Oryzias latipes: one gene and its partners. Each later gene encodes a partner of the first gene's protein in a complex. Links are inferred from orthologs where the notes say so. Each region holds a gene or a part of one and is shown in the gene's direction. Other genes may lie near its edges.

Region 1 (10,594 bases):
AGTATGTAATGCACCGTGTTTAACATCATTTCAGGGGGGAAAAGGAACGAAGAATTGATTCTGCCAATCAACTCATCTCTGAGCGTGACGTTGCATCAAGACCAGGCAATTAACTAAACTTTCCCATCATGCATTTTCCTTACAGCTGTTAAACACAACTGCATGTCTTTCTATCTAAGATTTGTATGAAAAAAGCAACTTATTTGTAGATCTTTTCCTTATATTTTTAAAAGAAAGCAACTTAGCTTTGACTGTTTTTTCAATTAAAATGTATTTTAAGCATTTAGGACAGTAAAACTGTTGCAATGGAAATTTTTTTCTAGCCATTATTTGAGTTTTTAGGCTGCTAATCTGAGGAGCAGCTACATAAATGGAAAACGTATCTTAACATTAAGAAATATTAAAGTTAGGTTAAGAAATTAAAATGTAATGAAAGTGATATTAAATATGGTGCAAACCTTTACAACATTCACCATATCAGCATAGTAGTTGTCCTCAAAGGGCCAGATATAACTTATACATGTAACTAAATGTAATGAAAAATAAACGTAACTACTCCTTAATGTTAAATCATTCATTTATGTATTTATTATAACTTTTAAAGTGACAATTGCTGTTGCATAGAAAACATGTGTTTGCTCGTTACTCTAGCATAAATCCTGTTAAATTTGATTCTGTCAGGTTAGGTTACATGGACAGTGTTTAAGTCCTAATGTATAGCTGCCCAATCAGATATTTCAAGTCTAGTTCCCCCTAGATATGAATAAATACACACCCATTTTTATTTTTTATTTTAAGAAATAAAAACTTTTATGCTATCGTGGGCCACATAAAATGACATGGAGGGCCACATTTGGCCCCCGGGCCTTGAGTTTGACACATGTGCTTTACAAAGTTATTTTCGATGATAAAGATGTCAGGGCAGGTTAACATCTGCACGCAGATTTTGATTCATCTAATCAGCTCAATGTGCAAAGACCAGAGCTTCAAACTATATTTTATGTTAAGGGAGCACGACTAACCCTAACCTCTTTCCAAACTCACTAAGGACCTTGGGCATTATGAAAAAAAACCTTGGGAGCAAGGACAATAACGTCCAATCTATGTTACTGCTTTTAACATGTTCCCTCTAATTCACTGCACAACAGTGGGAGGCAACTCATTTCTATTTTATCAATTTAAAAGAGGGTTGATGCTATTAAAAATGAGTGCATTTTTAAGCTATATTTAAACTAACTTTTCATGGTTACTACGTATTCTTACAAAGAACAAATAATTGGAAAAATGTCATGATTCATAAGTTTCGAATCTAAAATGGTTTGGAAAATAGCGTTTGTGTAGTTTGACTGTACGTCTTTATCTTCATGTCTGTTCAGTTAAAAACAACAACAACAGTTGCAACCAGCAGATCGTTTAAGGAGGATCGAATATGGCTGAATGGCAAAGAGGAGGACATCACCCATCCAAGACTTCAGTCTTGTCTCAGAGAAAGTGAGTTCTTTCTGTTCAATGCTTTCCTATGAACACTATTCAAGATACAGAAGTGAAACATGATGTTTTTAATTCCATTTGTTCTGTTTTCAGTTCGAAGATTGGCACGAAAGAGGCACAATGACGGAGACGCTACTTCCACTGAGTTGACTGGTCTTTCTCAAAAAGTCCACATTTGCTCTGTAAACAATTTTCCCACCGCTGCTGGACTCGCCTCGTCTGCTGCAGGCTTTGCCTGTCTAGGTGAGAGCCTTTATGTCTGTATCTAAAATCTGTTTACGTTGCAAATGTTTGTTATGAAAACTGTCTTAAAAATTCTCAAGTTGCAAGTGTTAATGTGCAACACATCAACAGTGTAATCTTGTACTTTTCTGTCCTTGGTTGTAGTTTACAGTCTCGCTCAGGCATTTGGTGTAGAAGGAGAGCTGTCTGGTGTCGCTCGTCAAGGTTCTGGCAGCGCCTGCCGAAGCATGTATGGAGGCTTTGTTCAGTGGATTATGGGAAACCAGGAGGATGGCAAGGACAGTTTAGCCCAGCAGGTGGAGCCAGAGAGTCATTGGCCTGAACTCAGAATCCTTGTCCTTGTGGTAGGTCTTTGTTAGATGAAGAATTTGGTCATCATCGTCTGTTAATAAAGTTTTATATAAGCTTTGAATCCATGCAGTTTGCAGCTCTCTTAAATGCAATCTGATGTGTTTTTGTTTAGGCTAGTGCTGAGAGGAAGCCAGTCGGCAGCACTTCTGGGATGCAAACTAGCGTACAAACAAGTTGCCTACTAAAGGTGATCTTTAATTCAATTTCAGTTCTAAAGTCACCTTTACAACCTTTCGCTCATAACATAACATTTCTGTGAATGATGTGTGCAGCATCGGGCAGAGTCTGTTGTTCCTCACCGGATGGAGGAGATGATTAAAGCCGTGCGAGGAAGAGACTTTGCTGCATTTGCTGAATTGACCATGAAAGACAGCAACCAGTTTCATGCCACCTGCCTGGACACATACCCTCCAATCTTCTACCTGAACAGAGTCTCCCAGCAGGTCATTCACTTGGTGCATCGATACAACAGACATTATGGGGAGACACGGGTGAGCAGTACCACAGTTTTGTCCTTTTTGGTGGTGGTTGTATTTATTTTTTAGTTGTGTTTAAATCTGGTGATCTAGTTATTTTACTTGTATTAGTACTTACAATTATGACGTTGCATGTTAGAGGAGTAAAAATTAGGATTATGATATTTACATATGTGAAAATCATAATGGGCACAATTAAAAACCTGATGGGATATTTTCTGTCTAAGTGTTGGATTTCAGGTCAAAAACAGACTAAATGAGGCTTTCATTTTGTATGACCTTTGGTAACTTTTGAAACACAATTGTTTATTTTTATGTGGATGAATTTTTGACATTGTGTAACAAAGATGTGAAACATGTGCGGTAATAAAAAAAAAGAGGAACGTGATTTTTTTCTATTCTTTTCTTTTTTTTTTAAGCTGACGAAAGTCTGTGTGCTCCTTTAGGTGGCCTACAGTTTTGATGCCGGGCCAAACGCTGTGATTTTCACGTTACAACAGCACGTTCCAGAGTTTGTCCACTTCATCCAGCATTTCTTCCCACCAGAAACCAATGGAGAGGAGTATGTCAACACCCAATCGATTTACTGTACTCTATACTTTCTGTTTGACAAGCTAAAGGAACTAAAAAACAAAGAGATAGACAGTTAGTTGAGCCACATACGTTTATGGGTTGAATAGCATTTTGCTCATAAAACCCTGCTGAGGAAACCAGGTTAACCTTTTTCTTTTTATTACAATAAAAGCATGCGGTCATGAAGGACTTTGCAGCATATTGGGCTTTGTTTCTGTTACTGAGATAGAATGTGGCCAACAGCTAAAAGGTTTGGCCTCGTTCACAAATACATTTTTTGGAAAAGAAAAAATCAGACAATATGAAGGGTTTGAAATTTACAAACATGTTCATAGTATTTATTTTTGGCTGAAAACAATACATTTGAAATTGCACCTATGCACATTTGCTCAAAGAAATAGTGTGCCTTGAAATGAATTAGTATTTTTATTATAAAAACATATGTGGCAATAATGTAAATGGCATTTTGCTTGTTTTTTTATGTTTCACCTCTCCATGCCTGAATTTATTTTCGATAATATAAAACTATTCTGTCTTTTATCCTTTCAAAGTGATGATGCTACCTTAAGTGGAGTTCTGGGTTAAATGGTACTTTACAAAGTAGTAATAGTAGTACAGAGTAATTAGCTGGGATTAATATTTGTTATATATATATATATATATATATATATATATATATTTGATTAGACTTGCATAGGTGTTTCTGTTGTATTTCTATGCTATCACACTCTTATTTCCTGTTCGCCTTTAGCTCCCTCAAAAATATGTCACAAAGCTGCTTTTATTTTCCTCTGCAGCTTCATCAAAGGTCTTCCAGTCAAGAGTGCTGCCGTCTCTGAGCAGCTGAAACAGAGTGTTGGCTTAGAACCCATGCCAAAGGGAATAAGCTACATTATTAGCACCAAGGTACATACAAATACAGACAAAGAGGATGTTCTTTGAGCTGCAGAGTGATTCTTTTTTTTGGTCATACATTCCAGGCTGGTCCAGGCCCCCGGGTTGTGAAGGATCCCTCTCTACACCTGCTGTCACCTGATGGCTTTCCTAAACTATAAGACATAAACTTTAGTTCTTTGAAAGTAGCTTTGTTTTTTTTTGTTTTTTTACGTTTACAGATTTATACAGTTTATTATGGAGCCCCTAAAGGGACATGGAGGTAAAAAAAAAAATAATAGTATTGGTTTCTCATGCACACGAGAAAAAAAACCCAGTGTGCAGCACAGCAGCTGATCAAAGCCAGTGCATCCCCGGTACCAAAACAAACTACATGACTTTAGAACTCGTTTTAGGTGACGTTCAGAGGTAACATAACGGTGACACCAGGCAAGCAAAGCTAAAGTCTTTGTAGGGGAGTCCTAAGAAATAATAACCACTTAGTTCCTCGTGTGCAACAGTTGGTTTATTGTGCGCATGAGAAACCAGTACAATTTCTTTTACATCTATGTCCCTTTAGGGGCTCCGTAGTTTATGCCAGCATAGAAGCAAAATAAATCTTAATTTCCCCATGTAAACTGTACAGTGCGTCTTCTAAGTCACTTCAAATCACGAGTTTTTAGGTTCTATTCTAAATAAATGTTAAATGTGACAGCAGCTCTTGTGTCTTCTGATTTCTTACATCATTGTCAGTAAGCTTGTTCCTTTTACTCGCTGTTAGAAAGAGATGTTATAGTTGCATTGCCTTAAAGATCTTGTATTTGTCAATGACATTAAACCTGGGATAAATAGTTTGTAAAAAATATTTTAAACTTTATTCAATGTGGCCTTTATTGTCCGTTTCATTATGTGAGAGAATGACACACAAATCCAGATGAAGGCATCAGTTAACAAACAGGAAAAAGTTAGAAACTAAACGAAGCTATTGCTTCCTTGCCAGGAAGAAAAGGGTGAAACTTTATTTAATGATTAAGTGAAATTCCTCCCTGGCCTTGCTGCACCTGTCCGGTGGGTGTTGGCCCCGCCCTCCTCCCGGGAATCCCGCATATTTTCGGAAACGACGGGCGAGGCGGGGCTGCGTCCCGCCCGCCCCGCCCCGCCCCGCTCCTCCCAGCCGCACGTCTACGGGCTGCACCTCCTCTAAAGCGCGTCGTCTTCCTTGTGCAGGCTGCAGGGTCAGGTGTCGTCGCAGGTAGAGCGTCGTAGTCGCGTCGTTTTTGGGGTCAGCACCATGGGGAGAATAGAGTGGGCCATGTGGGCCAACGAACAGGCTCTGGCTGCAGGCCTCAGTGAGTATACAAAAGATTTTTTAAGTGTTAGTATTTGCTTTTTGTCAGGTCATGAAATAACTAGGACAATTAACACTAGAACAAATAGCTCCATTTCTGTATGGTAATTCCAGTTGCAGAAATAATGTTCATCTATAGAAAGTAAAGGTGGATTGTTGTCATTAATGCTGTTTTATTTTTTTACCTTCCTGTTTCCTTCTTGTAGTTCTTCTCGCCGGAGGAATTGTGGGAGTGGCGGGGCAGTTTAGAGGCTGGGAGTTTGCTTCTTATGCTATGTATCCTTTACCTTATTATAAGAAGTGTATTGGGATTTAGACTCTTTAATACAGTTTGCACTCTGGTTCATGAGAACCAAGTGGCGCATGCGCAGGGTTAACCTGGAGAGGTTTCCCCGAATTTTAATACCTGAAAGTGTAAAGCCTCATTCACCTTTTTTTTGAAGATAATGTATATCATCCCATCTGAATATTTCAATATTTGTTTTTATAGTCTAACTACATTGTTTTTTTTCTGTGTCTTAGACAGATGAGTATTAGTTCATAACACAACTTGTGTAGTATCCGGTACACACTTCCTTATTGTGCATGTTCAGTAAATGCAGGTTCCTCCATGAGGTTTTTTTTTCTTTTCCTGTTCATCTAAGTTAAGATTTGATTTTTTCACCCAAATGTTAAAAATCATCCATTTTATGTAACCATAAAGTCCAAAATCTGATAGATTAAATTAAAAAGTTTGTTTTGTTTGTCAATTTAGCACATTTTAGTCTTATATTAAGCACTATGTGTGTTTATGATGATGATGTTGAAGTGATAACAATAATTAAAATGCCTTGACTGAAATCAAGTGCTGCTGGGGTCTTTGTGTGCCTGCTCGAGTATCCCAGGAGCAAAAGGGCCAAGGGTACGAGTGTGGAAAGGACGTAAGTTTCCCTGTAGTCTTACCTTTATTACATATTTCATCATCAGCACGTATTTTCCTAACTATTATAAGGTTTTTTACTCACTACTCATTTTCTTTCAGGGGCCAGTACTGCTTCACAGTGTGTGTAAAAGCCTTCGGACCAGTAACAAGAAACTATTATGTCAGAGCGTTTCTGCATGCAGCGTAAGTAAGATTTGAATTCTAAATTTAGAAATTCATTTCAAGCAGTCAAAACAAGAAAAAGTAAAAAAGAAAAGAAACGTGAGAGAATAACATATATAGATTTATCAAACTTAAGATCATGAATCCTTATTTGATTGGAAAAATTTGAAGTAAAAGAGAAATATTTTCAGATACATATTTGATGAAAAACAGTTTAATTAATGTCTTGAAAAGAAGTTGAATAAAGTTGACTTTGTGGTTCTGAAACAATGCCACGCTTGAATAAGTGGACTGTTTTGTGTCAATCCTTCTTTTGCCAAACGGCATTCTTTCCACTCACTAACAATAGGCTTGTGCCATGACTGTGTTTGGTCTTAAACCCTTTTGTATTTCTCTTTACAGGCTTTGTGTACCTGGAGGTTTTATGCTTGCCACAGTTTTAGGATGTGTCTGTCTTGGCATTGCCAGTCTCATCTATCTGGCAGTAAGTTGTTCAAAGCTCACCAGTTGTCAAATTTGAAAAGTGTGTTGTAATGGCGGGAAGTGGTTAGTTTCTGGAAACAAGGAAACTGCAACTTAGAAGTTGTCCCATAGTGGTGTCTCTGTTGAAACATGACATACGTTATTGCAAAACATTAAACGAAGGTGTGACTGAATTCTCCATGAGTTTCAAAGGTTCAGATGTAACACGGTTTAAATTTAGGTTTATCTCCAATTTTGAGTAAACAACATAGTCACTATCCTTTTGTGGCAAAGCATTGACATTCTCCTGCTATCTAGGCAGCTGTCCGAGGTGAACACTGGGAACCAATTCTTCCTCGCAAAGATACTCGGAAACCTGTTGCTGAAAGCATCAAAAGTCCTCCTCAGAACCCACCACCACGACCTCCTCCAGAGATACGCCGGAAGCAAGCCAAGGATGTGGAGGGAGCTGCCTATGACAATCCCATGTCTGTGACAGATGACGAGTAACTGGACCCCCCTCACAGAATGGTGGAGGAACGGTTCGCTCAAGTTAGTGACCCTGGAGAAATACAAGAAGCTGAGATCAAAGAAAAAAGTTGATATGATCAAAAAGTTGATATGATCAAAAATATACCACATACGGTAGATGTAAATGCTGTAGCTGCTAGTTTGAAAATGTAAATATACTGTTGTCAGTTTTAAGTACTGTATGTGTTAGTGTTTACTGTTTGGAAAAATATTCAAAAGGTCCAAGTCAATATCTGTTTCCTGTTCCAGCGATCATAACTTTTATAAAAGTTTTTATATTTTATAAAAGTGATCTAGAAAAATGTGTATTTACTTGTTTCTGGAGTTTTTGAAAGCAGCTAAATGCAGGTTGTGATTAAAGAATGAAAAAGTACAGATTGATGAGATGATCTGTGTTTTTGGGTGCATCATGGCGATAAAGCAATTCATGTTGTCTCATACTTCTGTGGTGATTTCTTGCTTTCTTTTAATTGTTATCTGTCATCTGTTTTTGCTTTTGTGTTTTTGTTCCTGTGGAAAATATTCAAAGCAGGGGCATTTGCAACTTCTCGCTTTTACAAGCCCAATATTTCGACACGTAGCACTTCCCCTGTTTTTCCATTGTTTCTTTGTAGTACATAGTTGTAACATTGCTGTTCACTGTTTTTTTAACGCATTGTTCAAACAGGTTCTACGTGATAGTATTTTTCTTTAATTTTCTCTTCTCTTTACTTCTGGAGTCAGAACAGTTACTGTCTATTTGTAAACCAAAGTATCATAATCGTGCTTCCTCTTTTTAGTCTAAACCGCAACACCCAGGTGCAGATTGAATCTTTATTCATGCAATGATTCTTGCTTGGAGAAATGTAGTAATCAAAGATCACGCACTTTGTTGAGAATAAAAAACAGAAATGTTTATTTAGGAGAAGAGCCACACAGAAAACCAGTCAGCTGAGTGAGTGTGTCAGAATTTCTTCCCAAAGTTCATGATACTTATACTTTTGAAACCCCAACAACTGCTTTAAAGTTTGCACATAAACTGCAAAAACAAGACAAGACCTGGTTTTTACAGATACATGTAAGTATTTAATGAAGACTTTGAAATGGAAGAGTATGAATAAAGAACAGATTGACCTCAGATCACAATGTAACTGAAACTGGTTGAAATCAAAAGTTGAAAATTTGCCCTCCATCTTCTGGAAAATACTTCTAATTTTGTCTATATAATACTAATAAATGACACCTAAAATAATCATTTCCCCTCGCTGGTTTGGGGTGTCCAAACTGAAGATGTATGAGGGCCAACCAATCGGCTCGCATTCTTTGAACTCTTATAAAAGCATTAAATGTAAATGAACTATATGATGCCATTTTTTTGCAATGGCATATTTTTCCTTTTTCCACATTGAATGGATGTTTGTTCACCTTTCAACACATCCCTTCAGGGGTTGCCACAGCAAATCAGCTTTCACTGAGTTTCATGCTGGAGGCCCTTCCTCACACAACCCTGTATTTTATCCAGGCTTTGGACCAGGGGGACCCAGACTTGGGGTCACTTGCAGCTACATTGTTAACATTTTTTTAACCTAAATTATAGTGGATTTTGTGTCCTCTTGTTTGGTTATTAAGGTTCTGAAGGCAAAGTAGCCACAGGTTGTCACAACAGGTTTATAATGGCTAAGAATGGAATTTAGCCAGCCACAATCAAGAAATTGTACACACACTTTTTAGAAAGTGCTGGGGCCACATGTTATTATTTTTATGACAGGAGCCCGTGAGAGGTGGGAATTTGAATGGAGGCTGCTTTTTGCCCACAGGCCGGACTTTGGACATGCTTCGTTTAAACCAATGATTCTGCCTTCTTGCCAAAGTAATGTGTAGCCATGAAATAATTGTCAACCTTTTCAGGTTTAATACTAATATATCATAACATATTTGAGATGAGATGATATTAGTTACCTTTGTCATAATCAGCATGTGGGAAAAGATGAACAATTGGCAGAACAGCTCATTTTAAAAGGCCATGTGATCATGATTTTAATCCTCATAAATGTGATTTTTCCTCTTAAAGACTTGAAAACAATTTAGCCTGTATCTTTAAGTAACAACTGAAGATGTATTTTTTTTATATGAAATATCTTTTCAATTTGTTTTTGGAACCAAAGTTGAAGATAAGTTACCTGGCATGTGATGTTTTTGCTCTATTTATTCTTTCAAATGTAAACGCTAGAGGGCGGAAGATTGCTCAGATGTTTTTCGACATTTAATCAAAGAAGACGAGCAAACCAATAGTATAAAGCATTTAGGTAGGAAAATGAAGTTGAAATTATTGGACATGTATAATAGAATCTGGTGTGAAGGTAAATTGCCGACAAATTGGAAAGAGGCTGTTGTTATTCCTATATTAAAACCTGGGAAAGATCCGAGCAGCCCAGAAAATTACAGCCCCAGCCCTCACATCACATGTTGGTAAAATAATGGAAAAAATGATAAATGAGAGATTGTATTATTACCTGGAGAGAAAAAATTTGTTGTCCCAATATCAGAACGGTTTTAGGAAAGGTCGAGGGACAATGGACCCTGTCGTCTGCCTAGAAGCAGACATCAGGAAAGCCCAAGTAGATAAAGCATATTTGGTGGCAGTATTTTTTTTATATAAAAAGGCTTATGATATGGTCTGGAAAGAGGGTTCATTGATAAAATTAGGTAGGTTAGGACTTCATGGAAGAATTTATAATTGGATTAAGGGGTTTTTTATTTGATAAATATGTTCAAGTTAGAATAGGAAAGTCTTTTTCTAATAGATACGTCGTGGATAATGTAACCCCACAAGGAAGTGTGATTAGCCCTGTGTTGTTTTCAATTATGATTAATGATATCTTTAGTTCCATTGGATGCGAATTTGGGAAAGCATTGTGTGCAGATGATGGAGCCTTGTGGAAGAGGGGACGGAATATTCGTTATGTGGAGAGAAAGACACAAGACGCTATTACGGAGGTGGAAAACTGGTCATACAATTGGGGATTCAAATTTTCAGTGGCTAAAACAAAATGCATGGTTTTTACTAGAAAACGTGAAACTGTTTTGAACTTAAAACTATATGGAAAAGTAATGGAGCAAGTACATAGTTTTAGGCATCTGGGAGTTATATTTGATAAAAAGTTGAAATGGAAAGAGAATATT
Region 2 (9,743 bases), on another chromosome or scaffold:
AGTTTTTTTTTATCTCTAATCAGATTGAATCTCGGTAAATTACTTTACACATTTCCTGAAATTGAGACACAAAGAGGTTGTGCACTGTTTAAAGTAGCCACACAACATGAATTATTGACCTTTGACCATTGTTTAAACTCTCAATTTAAATTAAATTTGTGTCTCCCTTTTGATTCTTTTTTCATGATGGTCAAGACAACTTTTTTTTGCTTTTTTCCGTTTGGTACAGGATCATTATCTACATTTCATTGGAAAAGTAAAATCCACATATTTCCGGAAAGAATTAAACAAAAAGAGCAGGAGTAGAAGTTCATGTGTAAGAAAAAAAAGCTAGTGGTTAAAGAATAAAGCTTATCTCAGATTTTTTTCAGTAGCTAAATCTATAGTTATTTAACCTTTGTTTTTCTCCCTTGGCTTCTGATAAACTAAATAACATCCTACCATCTTTTCAAATATGACTTCTGGTATTTTAAATATACTGTAAAATACATTGAAAGTTATTTATTTAGCTAAGAGAATTAAATGCAGAAAATCTACAAACTGTTAGCCAGGAAAAATCTGGAAAAGGAGAGGAAGTCCAAATAGTTAAAAAAATTCAAACACATTTACTTTCAGTCTTTAACGTTTAAGCACGCCATTACCAGACTTACATTTAGTTGTAAATAAAAAATAAAGAAAAATTAGGAAAATGTTCCATGTTTGTTTTTTCATGTCCTTAATTTGCAGTGGTACCCAGAGGTTCGCCACCACTGCCCTTCCACACCAATCATCCTGGTGGGCACCAAGCTGGATCTGAGGGATGAGAAAGATACGATTGAGAAGCTAAAGGAAAAAAAACTGGCACCAATCACCTATCCACAAGGCTTAGCTCTGGCTAAGGAGATTGGTCAGTTATACTCAATATTGTTTCAGCTCTGTTTTTTTTTTTAAATAAATATTTGTGATCTGATCTGTGATTTAATATGTTTACATGTATAACACTCAACCCTGTAACTAAAAATGTGCTTTTTGAAGAAAAATATAAAGCTTTTAATATATACGTATTTGATGTTTTATGGGACAAATTCATGTTGATTTAGATTTTACTTTGGAGCTTAAAAAAATGAATTAAAGCCTGAGTGGTGTTGTATGCAAGCAATAGCCACCCCCTCCTGATCTGCCCTCATTGGCTTTAGTGGCTGCTACACACCCCTCACTCTACCCTTCTGCCACTGCTACTTTAAACCCCACTTTTTTCAAAATGGCAGCCAGGTAGTGACGAACAGGTCTAAAAATAATTTTGAAGAATTGCCAAAAATAAATGTTTGGATTTCCTTGGCAACAGAGGGTTTTGTTAATCACGCCCACATTCCATTGTATGTCATATAATTTCGTTCCGCTTGAGCCAAGGATTCATGTATTATTTTTTGTGATAATGTTCCAGTAAAAACTGTGTGAGCAACAGGCGAACACCACTTTTGTGAGTTTGCCACACTTACACTGTCCAAAATCTACAACTTCTAAATCCAACCTTTTTTTTACCCAAGTAGCTTCCCAGTAATGCTCAAAAAGTTAAAAGGCGATAGATTAAATTCTATTGGAGGAGTTTAAAATTGTAGGTTTGTTTAAAAATTCAAGATTGTAGCTGCTTCTCATGGTCAAAGAAACTTTGGTGGTGGTCGTTGGTGTGTGACATTTTGTAAAGATCACCCAAACAAAGCTTGTCCTTTCCCATACATGTGCAAAAATATGAAAATCACCAAAGTTCAAACTTCGGCATGTAGTAGCCATCAAGCCGTAGAACCTGTGTCCATACTATGATAAAAACTTTGTTTGGATATGGCTGACATGTTGGTTTTGTTTCATTACTGAATGTTCAATTTCTTTTTTTTTTGGCCCCTTATTAGATTTTGGCCCAATTCTTTATTTGTTTATTTTTTACAATTTCACCTGCTGTGATTTCATCATTTTTGAGGGAGGGGTCATTCACTGTGTCAAAAATGCATTTTACCAGGTACTAAATATGTGCAAATTGTAGTGAGTTTTTTAGTATGTGTGTGTGTGGGAGGGGGGGGGGGGGTGACATTTTTTGCTTAAAGGCGCAGTAACAAAAAAGAATTGCTAAAACAATCAAATGTACTTATTTTGGTTTTTCTATGTTTTACCTGTTTTTGTCTTGTTTATTCTAAGAGAATTTGTTACAATTTTCTGAGGTTTACTGTGTGTTTGCATATGGACACAGATGCAGTGAAGTACCTGGAGTGCTCAGCACTGACCCAGCGTGGCCTGAAGACTGTGTTTGATGAAGCCATCAGGGCTGTGCTTTGCCCTCAGCCGGCCAAAGTAAAGAAGGCAAATTGCTTAATGCTGTAAATGGTAAGTGCAACATTATCCCTGAGAGGCAGGAGGAGAAATAAAAGGTGGAGAAATAAAACACATGCATTGACTGTGAGAGATGACTAGTGATATTTTAATGATTCAGGTTGAGAGGTTACAGGCTAGAAATAGTTGGGGTCACCTCCGTGTCTGGGCTCTGAAACTCAGTACCTTGAGAGGGGTTGGAGTTAACCCTGGTGGATGAGAGAGTCATGTCCCTTTGTCTTCAGGTGGGGGAAGGGTCTCTGACTGTGGAGCTGTTCCCAGTACATGATGGACTCCGGCAGTTCTGTTCATAGTTTTTATGGACAGAATTTATAGGCGCAGCCATGGGCCGGAGGGGGTCTGGTTTGGGAACCACAGGATTTCCTCTCTGCTCTTTGCTCTGCTCTTTGATGTTGTCCTGCTGGCTTCACAGAGCCGGGACCTCCAGCATGCATTGGGGTGGTTTGCGGCTGGGATGAGTCATGATTGCTAAATCTTTGATTTCTATCTTCATTCCAGTACTCACATATGGTCATGAGCTATGGGTAATGACTGAAAGAGCAAGGTTCCGAATACAAGCAGCTGAGATGAGCTTCCTCCGTAGGTTGGCTGGGCGCTCTCTTAAAGATAGGGTGAGAAGGTTTTTCACCCGCAAAGAGTAAAGCTGCTTCTCCTCCACATTGAGAGGAGCCAGTTCAGGTCGCTCGGGCATCTAGTCCGAAAGCCTCTTGGATGCCTCCCCGGGGAGGTGCTCCGGGAATTTCCCACTGGGTGTGGGCCCCGGGGGAGACCCAGGACATCCTGGACTGGAGAGACTGTGTGTCTTGGCTGGCCTGGGAATGCCTCTGGGTCCCCCCAAGAGGAACTGGTAGAAGGGGCCGGGGTGAGGGTAGTCTGGGAATCTTTGTTTAGACTGCGATGTCCTGGATGAGCGGAAGAAGATGGATGGATGGATGTTAAACATACATTCTTGAACGCATGTTTATCCCATGGCATTCACACTGGACAAGCAGGGAGGAATTTCTTCTTTTGCTATTGTTTTCTATCGCATGTCGGCCACCTACAGTTGGAAAAGGCTTAGTGTGAAATGTCAAAACGGTGCAAATCTTGTGAATCTTTCTTCAGGCTTTCTTTCACAGCTCTATTCCTGTATGTGAAAGACTTGTGCCCGGACAATTGAGCAATTAATAATTTCTCCTCCATGATAAGTTTTCAAACAGTTGGCACTTATGTGAATCACTGCCAAATCCGAGTCCCTGATTGGTCAAAGTTGGACCTGGGTTAACTTTTAATGCATGTTCAATAGCCGTACATTTGTTTGAAGAGCCAGTGGGGGAGTAAGAACATTTCATATGGACGGTTGGGAGAAGAACAGAAGACTTTAAATTAAGTTTTTTTTTTTTTTCATTTGTGATGTGCTGTTCACATTTGCCACTCTTCGAAACAGTTTTACAATTGTTATCGTTATTAAGTTAATAGAGCAGTTGTAATTATATTTTTTATTTTTTTGGCTGATGTTTATAAGTGCTTAAAAAGCTTGAATTTGTGATTTTTTTAAATCTTATCAAAATGATACTAATATTGACTCAGAAATTGGAGAGTTATTGGGGGAGTCCATTTTTTCTTTTTTTTTGCCTCTCCTTGCCTCCTTGTAGCTCCGCCCCTGCATAGAGCCCAAAAATGGTCAGAGAAAATTGCATAACCACGCATGAACATAAAGGTTTTAAACGCCGGAGCCTTAAACACATATTTTATGGGTTTACATAGAGTTTTTATTGGAAGTGGTGGCTTGAATGTGCATTGCCGAGGGCAGTGTGAACATAGCTTAACATAAACACCTTGACGTCTATTGATGCAAAAATGCAGCAAACCACTTTAGCTGCAAAATAACTTTCACTTAGCATCTATTTGAAAGCAAAAAATATAAGTGAAATTTATTTTAATATAAATTTATAATAAATTTATTTTCTCCTAGCTGAAAATAAATGCAGGCTTTAAGGAGTTAGTGGGCCTTATGGATCTCTGTTCTAACCTGCTTTTATGGTCTTCTTTTTAGATTCATTCGGTACCAAAGAGGAGTGAGAAGAGGACTGTGGATGTTGAGTTTAAATGACATGTAACTCTTTTATAACATCTCTACTAGAAGGTTTCAATAGGAGTCCACTTGTTAAAATATTATGCCTTTGCTTTCTTATTTACTTTAAAACTTTATTAATTTGCTTTGAATGGTCTGCTATGAGTGAGCATTGAAAAATGATGTCAAAAATTAGAAAGTTTCTGTTATATCTGTTGGTTTGCAAAAGAACGGGAGCAAAAGTAACAGACCAGAAAAAAATTGATTTATAAAGAAAAGCATTGTGAAATACAATTTCTGGCACATTAAATCAGTGTTTTAATTAATTTATGTTATGCTGAATTATGCTGAACAAGGAAAAGAAAATCAAATTATTTGCTACATGAGAGAATGCAACAAAATCCTGCTTAAAATGCAAAAAATATTATTATTTGTGGGAATGTTGAAATAAAATACTGTATACTATAACATAAAAATATCCATGATCACTTGGTGCTCTTTCTTAAAGCAACCCTACCTTTTTCCTTTTGTTTTATGACTCCATCAGGAAAGAGTGAGCTCAGTCCTTCTGAGGTAATGCTAAAGTAACATATTGCTGTTTTAACCCCTTCTACTAGCATGATCAATCTTACTTGGCTTTTCCCAAAGGCCAAACCATTATGGCAATGATATCAGTCAGACTAATATGCACAGATTATTGGTGGCCATCTGATTAATGGTGGAACTGGAGGCATTGCTACGTTTCTGTTGGGAGTTTTAGTGTCCAGTTTTTTTTTTTTTTTTTGTATTGCCAGTATAAATCAGTATTAGTGGTTTTAAAAACTCACAGTAATGTCAATTCTAGTGAAAATTATCATTAAAGCATGTACTCCTGTAGATGCACCCCTCAAGGATTAGAAAAAATGAAATACTTTAAGTAATTTTCAGGATTGCCTCATTAGAAGGCATCACTGGAATTTAATAGGGAATAAGACTGCAGCAGGTTGTGTGTTTCATGGACATATTGCCACAGAGCAGCAGCCACCTTTTCACATCTGTACACACTGCTGGAGTATGAAATATTCATCTTTTTGTTATAGCATAGGGAGAAATAGAATAAGCTTATGGGAGTAAATTTACATAGAAACATGCAACCTGGAAATAATTAGTAAAAACCTTGAAACTGAACATTCCCCAACTGACAATCCTTTGCACTTTTAAAAAAAGGGAATACAGTGAAGAGCAATGTTGATGCAATCCACTGAAAGAAATTGTCATTCAGTGCAAATCAATTTCAAATTCTTTCCACCTGAAAACCTCTTTACAGGTTCAGCGATTTGTCAAATAGAGTAGACTGTTGTTGAGATTATGTTTGGCTTGACAATTGCAGAAGGTTAGAGCCAACAGCTCAGATAAGATCCAGATAATGTTCACTATGATTGGTGGAAAAGTGTTCCATCATGGACGACTTTAAACCAAAGGTGCAATTTAAAAGTAAATGGACCCAGAGTCAACCAGGATGAAGCTCAGAGCATGAATTCCTTTACAAACTGCTTCAAAAATCTGATTGCAGGGGGGAGAATTTTCCATTTTCAATGATTTCTTTAAAACCATCGTTTTTTTTAAACTTATTCCTACGAAAAAAAAAAAAAAACCTGGAGTCACACGTTTTGACTCTGCTTTAAACCCACTATACAAGCAGTATGGTAGCTAACAGAGCTCAGTATTTTTGAAGGAGACATGTTAGTGTATCGAGTTAGGTTTTCTTATAGATATATTAATCATAGCTGAGTTACAACAGAGTTTTAGGTCCACTTTACAAACAAAAACATTTTTTTAATTATGACTTTAAAGTCCTACATTTATGAGAAAAGAGTTATTCCTATTAAATATGAGAATAAAGTTGTAAATTTACGCCTATAAAACACGTAAATCTACAAGAAAAAAAGTAATAAATTAACGAGAAAAAACACCAAAGTTGTCTGTTAATAGGAGCCATGCTTGAAGATGAAAGATGTGGAGCGTTTTGTAAAGCTTTATTTAAGCTTCACAAAGAAATTCTGAGTAATGCAGAGTTTCATAGGTAAAATAAAGAACTCAGAGACACGTTTGGGTGTAGAGGTCCGCTATTCTGCCCTTATCATCCACATACCCAAAAATCCATTTGTCACCTTGAGTCATGTAACTGTCATGCGCAAAAGAAACACCAAAGGGGAATGAAAATAGTGTGACATACGTGCCCTCCTCCAAATGAAATGTCTCATTTCAAGACAAAACAACAGAGAAGGAATAGAAATAGTCTGTTACATTAGCATAAAAAAATTTAAAATGCCAAAAACTGGGGGTTTTTTTAGACGAAAGCCTCACACAGATTTGGAGGAGATCTTATCTTTCATGGAGGAAGTGGACAGCTGCAGGGATACTGATGGCTTCCTCAACAGGCTGCAGAGATCCTGCCATCATAAAAGAAAATATTAATAAACTGTAAATAAGACAAATGAGCTTCCAAACATTTGTAATGTTATCAATAAACCTTCAACTTACCTGTTCAATTGAGTTTAGGCGGTTACATCTAGAGATGTTTAGTTCTCAGAGACATGGCCAAAGTAAGAAAAGCTGAAACCCAACCACCTCAACAAAATGCACAAGTTCAAACGTCACGAATGGGCCAAGAAAAACTGTACCTCAAGACAGACTTTTCAAAGGTTTTGTGGACTGATGAGATGAGAGTGACTCTTGATGGACCAAATGGATGGGCGCGTGGTTTGATGAATAGTGGACACAGAGCTGCACTTCGACTTAGACGCCAGCGAAGAGGTGGGGTGTTGATTTGGGCAGGTATTAATAAAAATAAGGTGGACCTTTTTGAGTTGAAAATGGACTCATGATCATCTATCAGACCTACTGCCAATTTTTAGAAGACACTTTCTTTAAGCAATGGTAAAGAAAAGAGACTGCATCTTTCAGGAAGACACTCATTTTTGTGCAAGACAAAGCTCGATCACATGCATCAAAGTACTCCACTGGCTAACACAGGCCGTAACCCTTGTGCTATCCTAGGCACTTTAACATTGGGAGTTGGGTCATCTAGACCCCACTAGACAGTGCGCTGAACTTTTTTTTTTCAATGATTTGTGATCTTCACTGGTGTCCATGGATTACATGAAATCCTCTTCACTTTAATCCACCTTTGTCATGGTAGGGAGAACAGGTCAATGTAAGGGTGGGGTCATAGGATAGCACAAGGGTTAAGGATGAAAAGCTCATGACATGGCTGCCTTCTTCACCTGACTTAAATGTTATTGAGAGCTTTTAGGCCCTTCTTTTTTATTTATTTTTTTAACTTGTCCTGTCCACCAGCTGAGCATGCAGATCAGAGCTGAAGGCCTCTTGTGTTTGACAGATTATACTTTTACAACAGGGGTTTATAGATCTTCAGACAAACAGAGTGTATATTTGCATATACACCCCACACCCCAGAGCTAGGGGTTTGCAGCGAAGCAACCAGGGTGGTCCAGGCAACCAAGAGCCCTACTGTCAGACAAGACCCGCGAGGAACCACCCTCTCATGCACTGGACCTCCACCACGGAGACTGAGGCCAAGACTCAGCATCCCACTGGCCGAGGAGTAGGAACAGGCCGACCCCAGCCACTCCCTGGGGCGGGGGACCCCCCCATTGAGCAGGGTATACATACAGGGTATATATACAAACATACATACATACATACATACATACATGTACATCTCCACCTGAGATGGTGAGGTCCGTAGTCCGTAGTTTAGCCACAGAGAAAGGGTGGTTTGAGCAAGGTGTAAAAGATGCAATTGAAAAAGCCTCTAAAATAGGGATGGGAAACTACAGGCGTTGAGGGTGACATTTCTGCATGACTTCCAACATACCCTGTTCTGGCATGTTCTAATTGGCAGGACACACCTTAACCATGCAATCAGTCATGAGTAGGGCTTGGATTTCTGGAAACCATGCAGACAAACCAGCCTTCGAGGCCGGGAGTTGTCCATCCCTGCTCTAGAAGCAGAGTTAAAATGTCTTCATTTATAAAATCAGGTTCAGTTCATTGCTTTTTTACATAATATTTTGATGGAATCAAGCTGAATGGATGCAAATCTACACAGACATGATGAATATAGGATTGTGCAGCATGAAACTAATGCCTTAGTCACAACTGCCTTTACCTTTGCCTTTACTTTAAACAGCACCTACACAACAGGCATAGATGAAGGGAAAAAACTTTTCAGAAGTGACAAAACACACTCTGGCTCAGTTCAGGTTGTTAAAAAAAAGAAGTTAGCAGTTCCTTTTTTTTTTACTGAAAATAGCAGTAGGCGGGAATTGTCAAGAACTGCTCCGGGGCATGCCTCCATGTAACAACACCAATGTCACTAAAAAGCAGATTCTTACAAAGTTCAGTGAAGCTTGGATGTTTTCAATTGGTTCTGACTCTTCCCCTCAGAGCTACAATCTGCAAGTCTGGATAAAGAGACGAAGCTCAATTAAGCGTAACAAGCTGTCTTCTCAGACAACTGCAAGAGTAGGAATACTGAAGCAGGCAAAAAGTTGAAGAGGTGAAAACATTTGTGTGAATGCAGAAAAAATGTTGTCAAAATTTCCCCACGAGTTGTTTTCAACCTTCTTAATGCATTTGTAAAAACATTATTCTATTTAACTTTACAACTTTAAAACTAAAAAAGTGCTAGCAGAACGGCTTTATTTTATTAGATACTTTTCTAGTTTAGTGTTAGGTTTGCCAAATCAATTTTCAGTTGATCTTTTTTCTCTGTTCTCATCTAGTTTTCCTCTGTGAAAGCTGAAAATAAAAATGTGTACATGTGTGTTACTTTGTCAGAAGCATCAATATTTCTTACTGAAAGCAAAGATTTCAGCAGATTATTGCAAAAACTGCTATCTAGATACAAACAAACCATGACAAAGCATCTTTGATGTGGAACATGAAAAAAATACTGTTTTGTTTTTAAAAAATACATACACAACAATATTCAATTCAATTTTATTTATATTGCTCAATATTATAACAATAGTTGTCTCAATGGGCTTCATACCGGTAATTGTATAAGAACATGAAACTCATAAAATACAATAGGAAATTGCTAAACTAAACCAAGCAGATAAGCTAAACTGGGCAAAGAGCATCTGCCCTTAAACCCTCTAAAGTAAAAATTCCTAAAAAAAAAACAGATTCCGGGAAAGAAAAACGAAACCTCATGGATGTCCACATGAAGGAGGGATCCTCTCCCAGGATGGACAGGCGATGTACCAGAATTCTTGGAGAAGAATTAACTTATCAAGTCAAAGTAACTTTATTGTCAAAA
Region 3 (10,382 bases), on another chromosome or scaffold:
TCAAATTCAGTAGTGTACAAAACATAATCGTCACTGTTGCTTTGGATCGTTTAACATCCAGTCCTGGAAGTGTTCTCCACAGTTTTTCCATCTTCAGAGTTTGGCTGACTAAAGTTCCAGTAGATGGATGATAAGAAAACAATAAATGAAGACACAGCAACACCTCAATAAAAGTGACTCTGTAATAAATAGGAACTGTTCTTTAATCTAAACTAACAGCAGAGTTTCCAGCAAACATATTTTATTAACTCACTGTTTTCATCTTTAGTGGAAAACACAAAAAACCTCCACACTTTAGATGAATATTTTGCAGACATGTTCTGGTACGTCACATAACTGAACAGAAGATTTTAATAATATTTTAAAATGTCCTATTCATTCTAATTTTTCTTTAAATTATCAACTACTTTTTAAATAAAATGTTTTTTTCAGAATTTATTTCAAAATTTTACTCCCATTTTTTGTATCTGAGAAAACACTTGATAGCTTTACTTTGAAAACGAGAACCTTCTCTGACACTTTACTCTGAAAATTTGTTTACTTCCTGTGACAGAAGTCCATTCAGTTTGTTTAGTTTTTAAACTTAAAATCCAACATTTTTCTGTATTTTACAGTGATAATTTATTTTTTATATATATTCCACTATATTTCCACGTCACAAATATTGGTACAGTTTTCTGGAAAAGATGGCGTATATCTGAGTATTCGGATGCTCATCTCGGTCCTATTCATCAAAATGATCACTTTGGAAGGGGAAAGTGTACCTTAACATTAAACGTGATGTCCTCCATGACGTACACTCTTTCGGGGAAGGCTTTGGCCACCTCCTCCACACTGTTGAAGTATTGCACGGGCTCCTTGACATCTCTGTCCTGTTCCAGCAACTTGAACTGGCCTAAGCAGAACACGAATGATTAGTGCTGATATTTTCCATCGCTTCTGCCATCACATGAGAAGTAAGCAGTTGGTGGTTCATCAGTTTCTCAAAATAATCACTCAGAAAACTTTTGAAAGCATACACGATGAATAATTTAGATAAGAAAGAGCCATTTCAAAGGAAGCACCATCTTCATGGCGGCTCCTTACCTTCATAATGAACTGGGATCTCTATTTTAGGCCCAATCACATAATGTCCCTCCTCTAGACTGTGAGCAGTTATAGTTGTCCACTGACGGCAGGAATGAATCAAGAGGTAGTCGTTTTCTCTGAGGCCCTCAACCAACTGAGCTGCAGAAAGGAAGTTTAACAATCAACCAAAGTACACAAAGAGTTTATGATACAATCAGGTCTGGATGAAGCTTTTAATAATATAGTCTATCCAGTGAGTTGCTTCCTGAAAAGGAAAATATTAAGATTTGAATAAATAAATGTGTCAGAAATTACACATAAAAATGTATGTTCAACTTACAAATAAAGTTTTTTAAAAATGAATCAAGTACTGGACACGAGCCTTTTTACTTCAAAACATTACATTATGGATAACCATCACCTGCTAAAAGAGACATTTTAAAAGGTAATTTAAAATCCATTAGACATAATCCCACACAATTTCTGCATGTTTTATACATTTAAATTATGAAATGAAAAACACAAATTTAACTAAGTAGATGTTAACTTTTGTCAAAGACACTTTCTAGTTAAATAAAGTGTAGACATACTAGGGGACTCATGATGTTGTGAAGGCAATGTTGTTGTTTTTTTACACCTTCAGCGTTTTCCTTTGATTAGCAAAATAGCCTTTTCGTTTTTACTTCATGACCTAAATTCTTATTCATTACCATCAAGGTTGCTTTTATATCAATCAGTTTATAGCATTATTGCACTAAAGCGAATCTTTGTTTTTCATTAGCTTAGACTAGAGCTGATAAGCAGAAGCCTTAACTGGCTAGCATGGTAGCTATAAAACTTGAAGTAAGTTACTAACCGTTATCCAGCATGACAATTTGTGGCAACTTGTACGCACTGACCAGCTGGTCTAGCGGCAGAGACGTCGTGCTCCACGTTACATCCTTTAAGTTATTGTACAACATCGTTCCAAGGTCCATTTTGCTAGCTTAAGTTAGTTAGCCACTTTTTGAGCTAACTGGTGCAAAACACGGTCACAAAAAAGCTTTCCCGAGCAAACTAGCTACACAATTATAGCTGCTCTTCATCTATGCAGTTGTGTCATGCACATGACGTTCCCAAGTCGTAGCTGCATAGTTCCCTCTAAGTTTCCCTACGTATCCAAAAGGTTCGTTGTTAGAAAAAGTAGCCAAGCCATGTTTGTTTAGTAGCGACGGCAGTATCAAGCTAACTATTCTAACGGAAATACGTCACTTTCTACAATTTTATTTTTATTAAATAAAAGCCTTTCCCTTTTCCCCCTCCAATTAAAATTGATGAATAACAAGATTTAAATCCCGGAACAACAACTCAAATTATAACAAAATTATACAAGTACATAGCAGGTGATAAAACATTAACAAAAGAAGGGAAAAGGCCAAATAAAGTGCATTCTTTAGGCTTTTCCATTAGGTTTAATTTTTTATAACCACTTCAATAATTTCACTGCGTTTTCTTTTGTTTGTTTTTTTGCTTATTTTTATTTATTTTTTACTTCTCACAAACAATTGAACTCCTTCTGATAAAATAGTCTGGATTACAAATTAAAAATCTATTTTAGTAAATAAAATATATTCCAAAAATTGTGAAGTTTCGTATCATTTCGTAATAACCAATCGATACATTTTCTAACTTTATGGCTTAGCTATTTTATATCTTATCTAATTTTACATCTTAGCTTTTGAAATAAAAGTGTTTGTTCCAACAGATGTAGAAATTGGATTTTAATGGAATGGAAGAAGTATTTACTATTTACTACATACTAAAGAAAATGCATTTAATTAATTCAAGATAAGTACCAGAAAGTATATTTTTGTCTCGCTAAAAGGTTGGGGAAATAAGAAAAATTTTAAAGAGTGTTGGCCAACAATTCAACAATTTTAAGGACAAGAGAAAAAAAATCAAAACTCTAAAATAATTTATTTTCTTATAACTTTGTTAATGTTTACACTAATCTATATAACTTAAAGAAAAAGTCTATTAAAACCTGAGATGTAACCTTTTTTTTTTGTTTGTTTTTTCATTCTATTTTGTTTTGCAGACTGTAATGCCAGATTTAAGCCTCAAACTTTGCTAAATAATGTTAAAATAATGTTTTAATTACTCATAAGTTTTCATTTATCTCTTAAGGCACATAAAATAAAAGAATAAATTTAAAAAACATTGAGGTAATAAAATAACCTGTTCTTTTGTTTTGGCTAAATATATGGGTTCACACAATTTTTATTAATTCATTTTTAATCAGTGAAGTTTTGGAAAATCTTAACTTAAGGTAGACTTTGTGATGAGTAAATGAAAAAAAATGAAAAAAATACGGTATTGCTAATACAAATCCATGTAAATCATAAAATTAACCAAAGATAATGATGAGGTGGGGAGTACTACTATTGCACTTTACTTCATTATTTACTCTTAAAATACTACAGTAAATATTTAAACACCCATAATTTTTTCAGATCAACGATTCACAGATCAAACCACGATTCTTACTATATTGACTTGGACTCAAGAGCACATGGCGTTGATGCAAATTCATTGAACGTTGTCATCAACTTCCTGTTTTTCATGGCATAAATCAGAGAAACTTCCTCAATTCAGTCACTGTGTCTCAGCGGCAGCCAAAATGTCTTTTGTGGACACTCTGCGACAGTGGGATGACGGCGTAACCTGTGCTGACAAACAGGATTTTTCGGAAGCTCTCCGGATTCTCTTGGCCATTCCTGAGCCAAACTCCAAGATTTGTTTCAACATCGGCTGTCTGCATCTGCTTAACCAGAACTTGGATGATGCTGAAAAGGTAAAGTCAAGCATTTCTCAACTATTAATTTGCTCCTAAAATAGAAAACTAGAAATCTGAAAACATCAGTTATCTGGATGCAACCGGTGAGGCAGAGATTGAATTCGATTGTAGTGTAAGTGCGAGTCGCAGTGAAACAAGAAGTGGTGCTGAAAGCGTTTTTGTAAAGGAAGTTGCTGCTGTTTCATAGGCGTTCGATTGCAGCATTCGCAAGGATGAGCATTTGGCAGTGGCTTTCTTTCAAAGAGGAATCACCTTTTATAAGAAGATGAGGTAAGACACACCGGCTTTTTACAAACAACGACCAATTTCCTTCCATTTCATTCCAAATTCAGAACACCTGTTAAGTATTTGCACCTAAACCACAAGTTTTCACTGATTTGTTATGCAATTTATTTGATCACACATCTGTAAAGGTACGAAGAGAGCATTGGTGACTTCCAGAGAGCCTTCAAAACGCTAAGAGGAAACAACCTGATCGATTACAAGGCCCTTGGTCTCAGATATATTCTATATGCATGTGAGGTAGGTGTTTTCAACCTTAGGCACAATCTACTACATCATCACTAAATCATAACACCTTCCAATTCTGCTGTTTGCATGAGAAAAGCTCTAAATAAAATCTCTCCTTTCAAAGGTTCTCCACAACATGGCCCTGGCTGAGGCTCAGCTGGGAAACTGGGAAAAGGCTGAGCAAAACCTCAGGAAGGCGCTTGACTACAAAACAGACGCCAAGCTCAGTGTCATCGAAAAAGCTCAGCAGGCAGTCCTGGTTAGCATTGATCTGATGAAAAACGAGGGTTTCTCTTAAAGTGCCCAATTTACATGGAGGGGGGGGGATCTAAAAAGTAATTTTAACAGTCGACTGGGATAGGCTCCAGCAGCCCTGTGACCCCTATAAGGGATTCAGCAGGAATATAAATAAATATTTTAAAATGTTAATCCACACATTTAAAAACTATTAAACAAAACACATCTGCAGTTTCATCTCTGCTAAGGATCTCGTCAGAGTAAATAATGTCTTTATTTGTCCAGTAAGTTCAGGTCCAACCGTGCCTCCATGGAAAGTTTAGGGACAGAATGCGGTTTTGAAATGTCAGATTTAGGACATCTTTTTGATGCGATTTCATTGACAGAAGGAGAAGCTGTTCAAACTAGTGGAGTTCCCATCAAAAATGATGTTTAAACCAAATAAACATTACGTTGCAGAGCTGGAGAAGAAAGACTACCTGGGCAAAGCCAAAGTAAGAATAAATCTTTTTCATTGAAATAAATCATCTTACATGATTTGGGAAATCTTGAGGGTGAACTTAACAATCTGTGTATTGTTTGTTTGATGATCAGGTTGTTGCCTCTGTCAATCCACAAGACGATTTTTCTGGATTTGCTCCTCTGCAGCCACAGGTGACGGAGATTCGTATTTTTCGTTGCTAAATGCTGTGATGAGGCAACAAAAAATTCTGAAAAATTGTGAAATGTCCACGCAACCTTCCAGCTTGAAAATGAGCCTTAGAAGCATGCGATGTTTGTTTCTCCCTCCTACATTTTTTATTGACACTAAGCTAAAAGCAGTGACAAGTGTAGTACAACTTGTCGGGATCGAAAAAGTATCCATTCATCCATCCGTCCGTATCTCAATCACTTTTCAGAATAACCTGTAAGCAGAAAGTCAGCACATCTGCTATTCAAGCTGTTTAAAAGACAGAGAAGGTCACAAGTCCCTTTTTTCCAAGTCCAAATCAACTCTGAAGTCTCAAGTCTGTCATTTCAAGTCTCAAATTTGAATTTTAATGAAGAGTCTACTAACACAAATTGTCATCACATTTTTGTGGACATTAAAACAGACAGTTTATGTTTCGGCAAAGCTTCTTAAAGATAATTTTTTAACAAACATTATTTATTCACAAGTCCCAAACCTGGAGGTTAAATTCAAATATTTGCATGTGAGACTTTGGTCCAAGTCAAGTCCAAGTCACAAATACAAGTCCCTATCTGTCATTCCATCAGAACCAGAACATCAGGAGGTTGAGTCATGGTTTAAACACAGTCAGTAAACAAAATCTTATTTGTGGCAGGCTGTTGTGAAAAAATTCTTGAATCTTTGGATGTGCATTTAAACATTGCCCATGTATAAAAGATTTTATGCCTTTTAATTTTATATTTAATTTGAAATTAGGATTACCTTTTGTGAGTTTTGTGTGTACATCCCGTATACTAGACAGGACTGGGGAAAACACTGGAGCCCTCAAGAACCAGTATGACTCAGTAAATCAGGGACTGACTGGATAATCTCCTTCTTAATCACTAAACAGGTTGAAGATGGTCCACTTTCTCCAAGAGAACCAGAAGTTTTAAGGTACATCCCAAGTTTTTTTAAAAATCTATCAAGTAGAAATTGATAAAATGTTTTTTAATATCTTTTTGCTGAATGTCTTTGTCCTTTCGTGTAAAAGGGTTTTCTAATTTTCATCAAATTAAACGTCATCTTCCTTCAATGACAAAAAGACACGTGTGTTACGATACCCTTTGTGTGTCTATTCTTCATAGAGCCTTGGAAGGTGAACCCCACACTGTACTGTTTGAGTTTGTTCCTGAAACCTGCGACGAGCTGGCCGTGAAGCCCGGCAACATGGTGTTCGTGCTGCAGAAAGGGGCAGACAACTGGGCCTATGTCATCTTCAATGGAAGAGTAAGAATGCCGTATGCACAATCTGTGATACTTCTTGAGAGTGTGTGCATCATTTTTTTCCCCCAGATTGTGTGTTTAGTAGAGAACTGAGTGCTTATTCGTGGTTATGATTACAGACGGGACTCGTACCGTACAATTACCTGGAGCGTCAGGAGATCTCTCTGGCTTTAAAACAGAAAAAGGTATTGGTACTAGGGATGCAACGATTCACTTTCTCCACGATTTAGCACAAATTTTGATTTTTTTTTGGGTCACAGTTTTGTGTCATTTTGATATAAGATTTGTTTATAAAATGACAAAAAACAAAAAATTTGGACAAATCCTTTTTTTTAATTTGGTAATCAGCGAGTTACAATGAAGTGAAAGACTTCACTTGGCTCATACTTGGGGTTGGGGTAATGTAACAAAACAATAAATACTAGGATGTATTCAGACTGGAGAAGTTAGTTGGTCTAGACCCAGTTTGCCTAATTTGGTCTGGATCAAGTCCTGAACCTTGCATTTGGTCTGTACTCAGATGGCTTTTCAGCTGGAGATTTGTTTCGAACCAAAGCTTGTAAACAAAAGCATGTGATTGAAAATCTCTGCAACCATTGGCAGGACACAGCAAGGAGATAAATAATGAAAGTCCTACAATCCATGTCGGATTATCCAAACTTTATATTTTGCTGAACAATTTTGAACGTCTGTGTCGGAGGCTGCAAGATAACTGTTTATGACACAGATTGTCGGGAAACACTGTGAAAACAATGTGTATCACGTTAAAAGTTATTTTAATGAGCTAAAGAGTTGCTCATTAAATTTAATGAGTTGCTGCGTCTCATCGTCGCTCCACAATTCTCTGCGGCTCATCCGTTTACATCCTGTAAAGATGAGGTAGCCGTTTAGGTTCAGTTGTTCTGCTCTGAATATGGAGTCTATTCAGACTGAGAAAAACTCCAGAAATGAGTCTGATTGGAAATGAACTGAAACCACCTCGAAAGACGGATCAGAGAGCGGTTCCTGGTCCAGGATCAGGGTCTGCTTGCCAGGGTCCTCAGAATGAAACTTGAAATGAACTCTGGTTCTCTTCAAGTTGAGCAAATGTTTCCAATCTGAATACAGCCTGAATGCTTTTTAAATTTAGCACACTTGTTGAACACTTTTAACCTAAAACACTGGTATGCCGTGTTCAACGATTCACTTTAATGGTTTAACATACGGTTTGGTTTCTGATCAACACTTGTGGCATCCCTAATTGATACACAATATTTATATTTTTTATTAAAAGCTCAACTTTGACATGTGGAGTAGTTTCAATCTTTAAGTATCCTGATTTCCTCTCAAATTTTTGCGTGTTGTTGAAAATTGCCTTTAATGGGAATAACTGTCACCAGGGTTTGGTTCCAACTTCAAGTCGAGAAGCACCGAATATACCGGAGAGGACTCGAGGTAGATTTTATGACACACAGGCTTTAAAACATTCTCGTTTCCTCCGTTTCTCCATGTTTGATCTGGTCTGTTGCCGTTCAGGTCTCAGTTCTGGGAACGACAGCAATGGAAATGAAGAGCAGACGGTACGCTGAGACAAACCCAACAGTCAGTGGTCCTCATCATAAACGCCTCGTTGATCATTCGGTTTCCTTTCAAATCCAAGGTTCCAGACAGTTTATACATCGTCAAAGTTCACTTCACATTCACCTTTGCTGTCTCAATACCACGTGAGTCTTCCTATGAAGTGCTGATAAGAAAAATAAGCAAGAAGGTGAAGCTCCCGTCAGACAACATCTCCTTAAGGTAGAGCCATCATTTTAACCCCAAAACTGACACCTTCCATTGATCCTCATCTTTGTATGACAAAAGTTACCGTCGTATTTTGGCTTCAGCTTAGATTCAAGCGGACAACGTGCGATTGATGCAAACACAGACATGGAAACGGTGTGGAGCCAGGTCCGTGCCGGGCGCATCACTTTGTGGTGCAAAGAAAAGAAGGTAAGGAAGTGGTGGCGGCGCACAAACCAGGCGTTTCTGTCAACATCACCATTAAGCAACGAGATGCAACTGAAAGGAAGTTTGGACATCATATTCCTGTTTACTGAGAACTTTTGCTTCATCAGTGTGAATGAGTTCACATGTATGGGGAGGCCGTGGTGCAGCGGTAGGGCGGTCGACCCATGATCGTAAGATTGCAGGTTCGATTCCCGCCTTGCACGCCCACGTGTCGAAGTGTCCTTGGGCAAGACACTGAACCCTAACTTGCCTCTGGTGGGAGGTTGGCGCCAGTGTTTGGCAGCGGAGCCGCCATCAGTGTGTGAATGTGTGTGTGCATGGGTGAATGGGACTGTGACTGTAAAGCGCTTTGGGCTTTCGTAAGAAGGTAGAAAGCGCTATATAAGTATACGCCATTTACCATTTACCATTCTCCAGTTGCCTCCAACGGTCCAAAAGCATGCTTCGGTGACTCTAAATTGCCCGTAGGTGAGCGTTTGTGGCCCTGCGACAGACTGGCGTATACCTTGCCTTCACCCTACAGTAGCTGGGTTGGCTAAGACAACTCCATGACCCCGAAAGGGGGACAGTGGGTGCTGATAATAGATGAATATTGTAAATAACATTACTCCAAAAACTGCATTGCATTCTGAAACCTAGAAGAATTGGTAAAATATTGGTAACTTTTGAGAAATATTTAAAAAAAAATGATAATTTCAGTAATCAGTTCCACTTCTGTGTTTCCCTTTAGAGTGATAAATAAAACCACTTAAACCTCACAAATTAAGTTTGGTTTTGGCATTCGTGCACTAAAGCAGTGTTACCAACCCTGGTCCTTGGGGAACACTGTCCTGCATGTTTTGCACGTTGCCCTGCTTATGCAAACCTGATTCAGCTCAATATCAGACTTTGCAGAAGTCTGACAGTGACAGTCATCAAAGGCAGATGTGTTTGAGCGAGGTAGGATTCAAAGAAATGCAGGAACCTGTTCCCCGAGGACCACGGTTGGGAAACGCTGCACTAAAGTGAACAAATAACATGCAGGTAGAGAAAATGACCTGAATTCAGGTCATTTTCTCTACCTGTTTATCATTGAAAGCAGAAAACATAAATGGCTTTTACTAAAAGAATGTTTCCTGACGATATTCATGTCAACCTAAAACTTATATTAAAAGGTGTGTTTTAAAATGTTATTTTACCTGAAGGATAAATATTTGATCAGGTTGTGTAGAACTACATGTACTTTTAGTGTTTGGGGTTTTCCTGTTGCAGATCAACGACATTTTTATTTGCCTCCACAGGACTATGAAAGTTAAACTGACTGGACCAAATATTAGTTATTATTTTCTTTGCCGAAAAAACACTTATGGATTTGAAAGCTCTAATCTGAACTCACCCCCTTATATTTTGGGATTCCAGCAGGAGGAGGGGGAGGAAACTCACAAAGTGGCGCTTCACTCATACCAGTCTGCAAATCCAGAAGATCTGAACTTTAAGGAAGGGGATGAAATCACAGTCCTTGCAAGAAGTATAAACCGTTTAAGCCATAACAACAACCTTTTTAAACCATTTTAATTGTACACAAATTGAAACAACAGTTTCTTCTTTTTCCACAGTTAACCAGGACTGGCTGGAAGGACGGTGTAATGGGAGTACTGGGATATTTCCTGCATCTTTTGTGAAATAAGTTCCTGTGAATGGCCAGTAATTTGTGCTAATATTTTTTGCACATAATTTCCCACAGTCGTAAAAAAAGATTGGAATGATAGCAGCAGAATCATAGTTATTGTGTAAATAGATTTATTGTAAAAACATTTAGCAGGT

The links.
Region 2: cytochrome b-245 light chain (region 1) and ras-related C3 botulinum toxin substrate 2 share a complex: the UniProt entries of both Homo sapiens proteins name them as parts of the phagocyte NADPH oxidase complex. The link is inferred for Oryzias latipes from reciprocal best matches to the Homo sapiens genes CYBA and RAC2.
Region 3: cytochrome b-245 light chain (region 1) and ncf2 share a complex: the UniProt entries of both Homo sapiens proteins name them as parts of the phagocyte NADPH oxidase complex. The link is inferred for Oryzias latipes from reciprocal best matches to the Homo sapiens genes CYBA and NCF2.

What each region holds. Positions count from the first base shown.
Region 1 is NC_019861.2:22,087,083-22,097,676, forward strand, and holds cytochrome b-245 light chain, read left to right. Parts: upstream 1-4,888; 5' UTR 4,889-5,298; coding exon 5,299-5,356; intron 5,357-5,561; coding exon 5,562-5,631; intron 5,632-6,200; coding exon 6,201-6,275; intron 6,276-6,376; coding exon 6,377-6,460; intron 6,461-6,841; coding exon 6,842-6,923; intron 6,924-7,219; coding exon 7,220-7,411; 3' UTR 7,412-8,358; downstream 8,359-10,594. Other genes in the region: mvd (diphosphomevalonate decarboxylase), read left to right, coding at 35-105, 1,377-1,491, 1,585-1,734, 1,879-2,078, 2,198-2,272, 2,358-2,576, 3,008-3,123, 3,932-4,040 and 1 more. UniProt on the Homo sapiens protein: Subunit of NADPH oxidase complexes that is required for the NADPH oxidase activity that generates, in various cell types, superoxide from molecular oxygen utilizing NADPH as an electron donor.
Region 2 is NC_019859.2:25,180,045-25,189,787, reverse strand, and holds the end of ras-related C3 botulinum toxin substrate 2, read left to right. Parts: intron 1-726; coding exon 727-886; intron 887-2,221; coding exon 2,222-2,352; 3' UTR 2,353-2,355; intron 2,356-4,396; 3' UTR 4,397-4,892; downstream 4,893-9,743. UniProt on the Homo sapiens protein: Plasma membrane-associated small GTPase which cycles between an active GTP-bound and inactive GDP-bound state.
Region 3 is NC_019878.2:10,706,606-10,716,987, reverse strand, and holds the start of ncf2 (neutrophil cytosol factor 2), read left to right. Parts: upstream 1-3,497; 5' UTR 3,498-3,727; coding exon 3,728-3,901; intron 3,902-4,091; coding exon 4,092-4,174; intron 4,175-4,317; coding exon 4,318-4,426; intron 4,427-4,538; coding exon 4,539-4,673; intron 4,674-5,037; coding exon 5,038-5,145; intron 5,146-5,245; coding exon 5,246-5,305; intron 5,306-6,213; coding exon 6,214-6,257; intron 6,258-6,448; coding exon 6,449-6,590; intron 6,591-6,706; coding exon 6,707-6,772; intron 6,773-7,966; coding exon 7,967-8,021; intron 8,022-8,102; coding exon 8,103-8,146; intron 8,147-8,226; coding exon 8,227-8,366; intron 8,367-8,455; coding exon 8,456-8,561; intron 8,562-9,977; coding exon 9,978-10,086; intron 10,087-10,174; coding exon 10,175-10,245; 3' UTR 10,246-10,382. Other genes in the region: garem1 (GRB2-associated and regulator of MAPK protein 1), read right to left, coding at 765-895, 1,087-1,227, 1,925-2,045. UniProt on the Homo sapiens protein: Subunit of the phagocyte NADPH oxidase complex that mediates the transfer of electrons from cytosolic NADPH to O2 to produce the superoxide anion (O2(-)).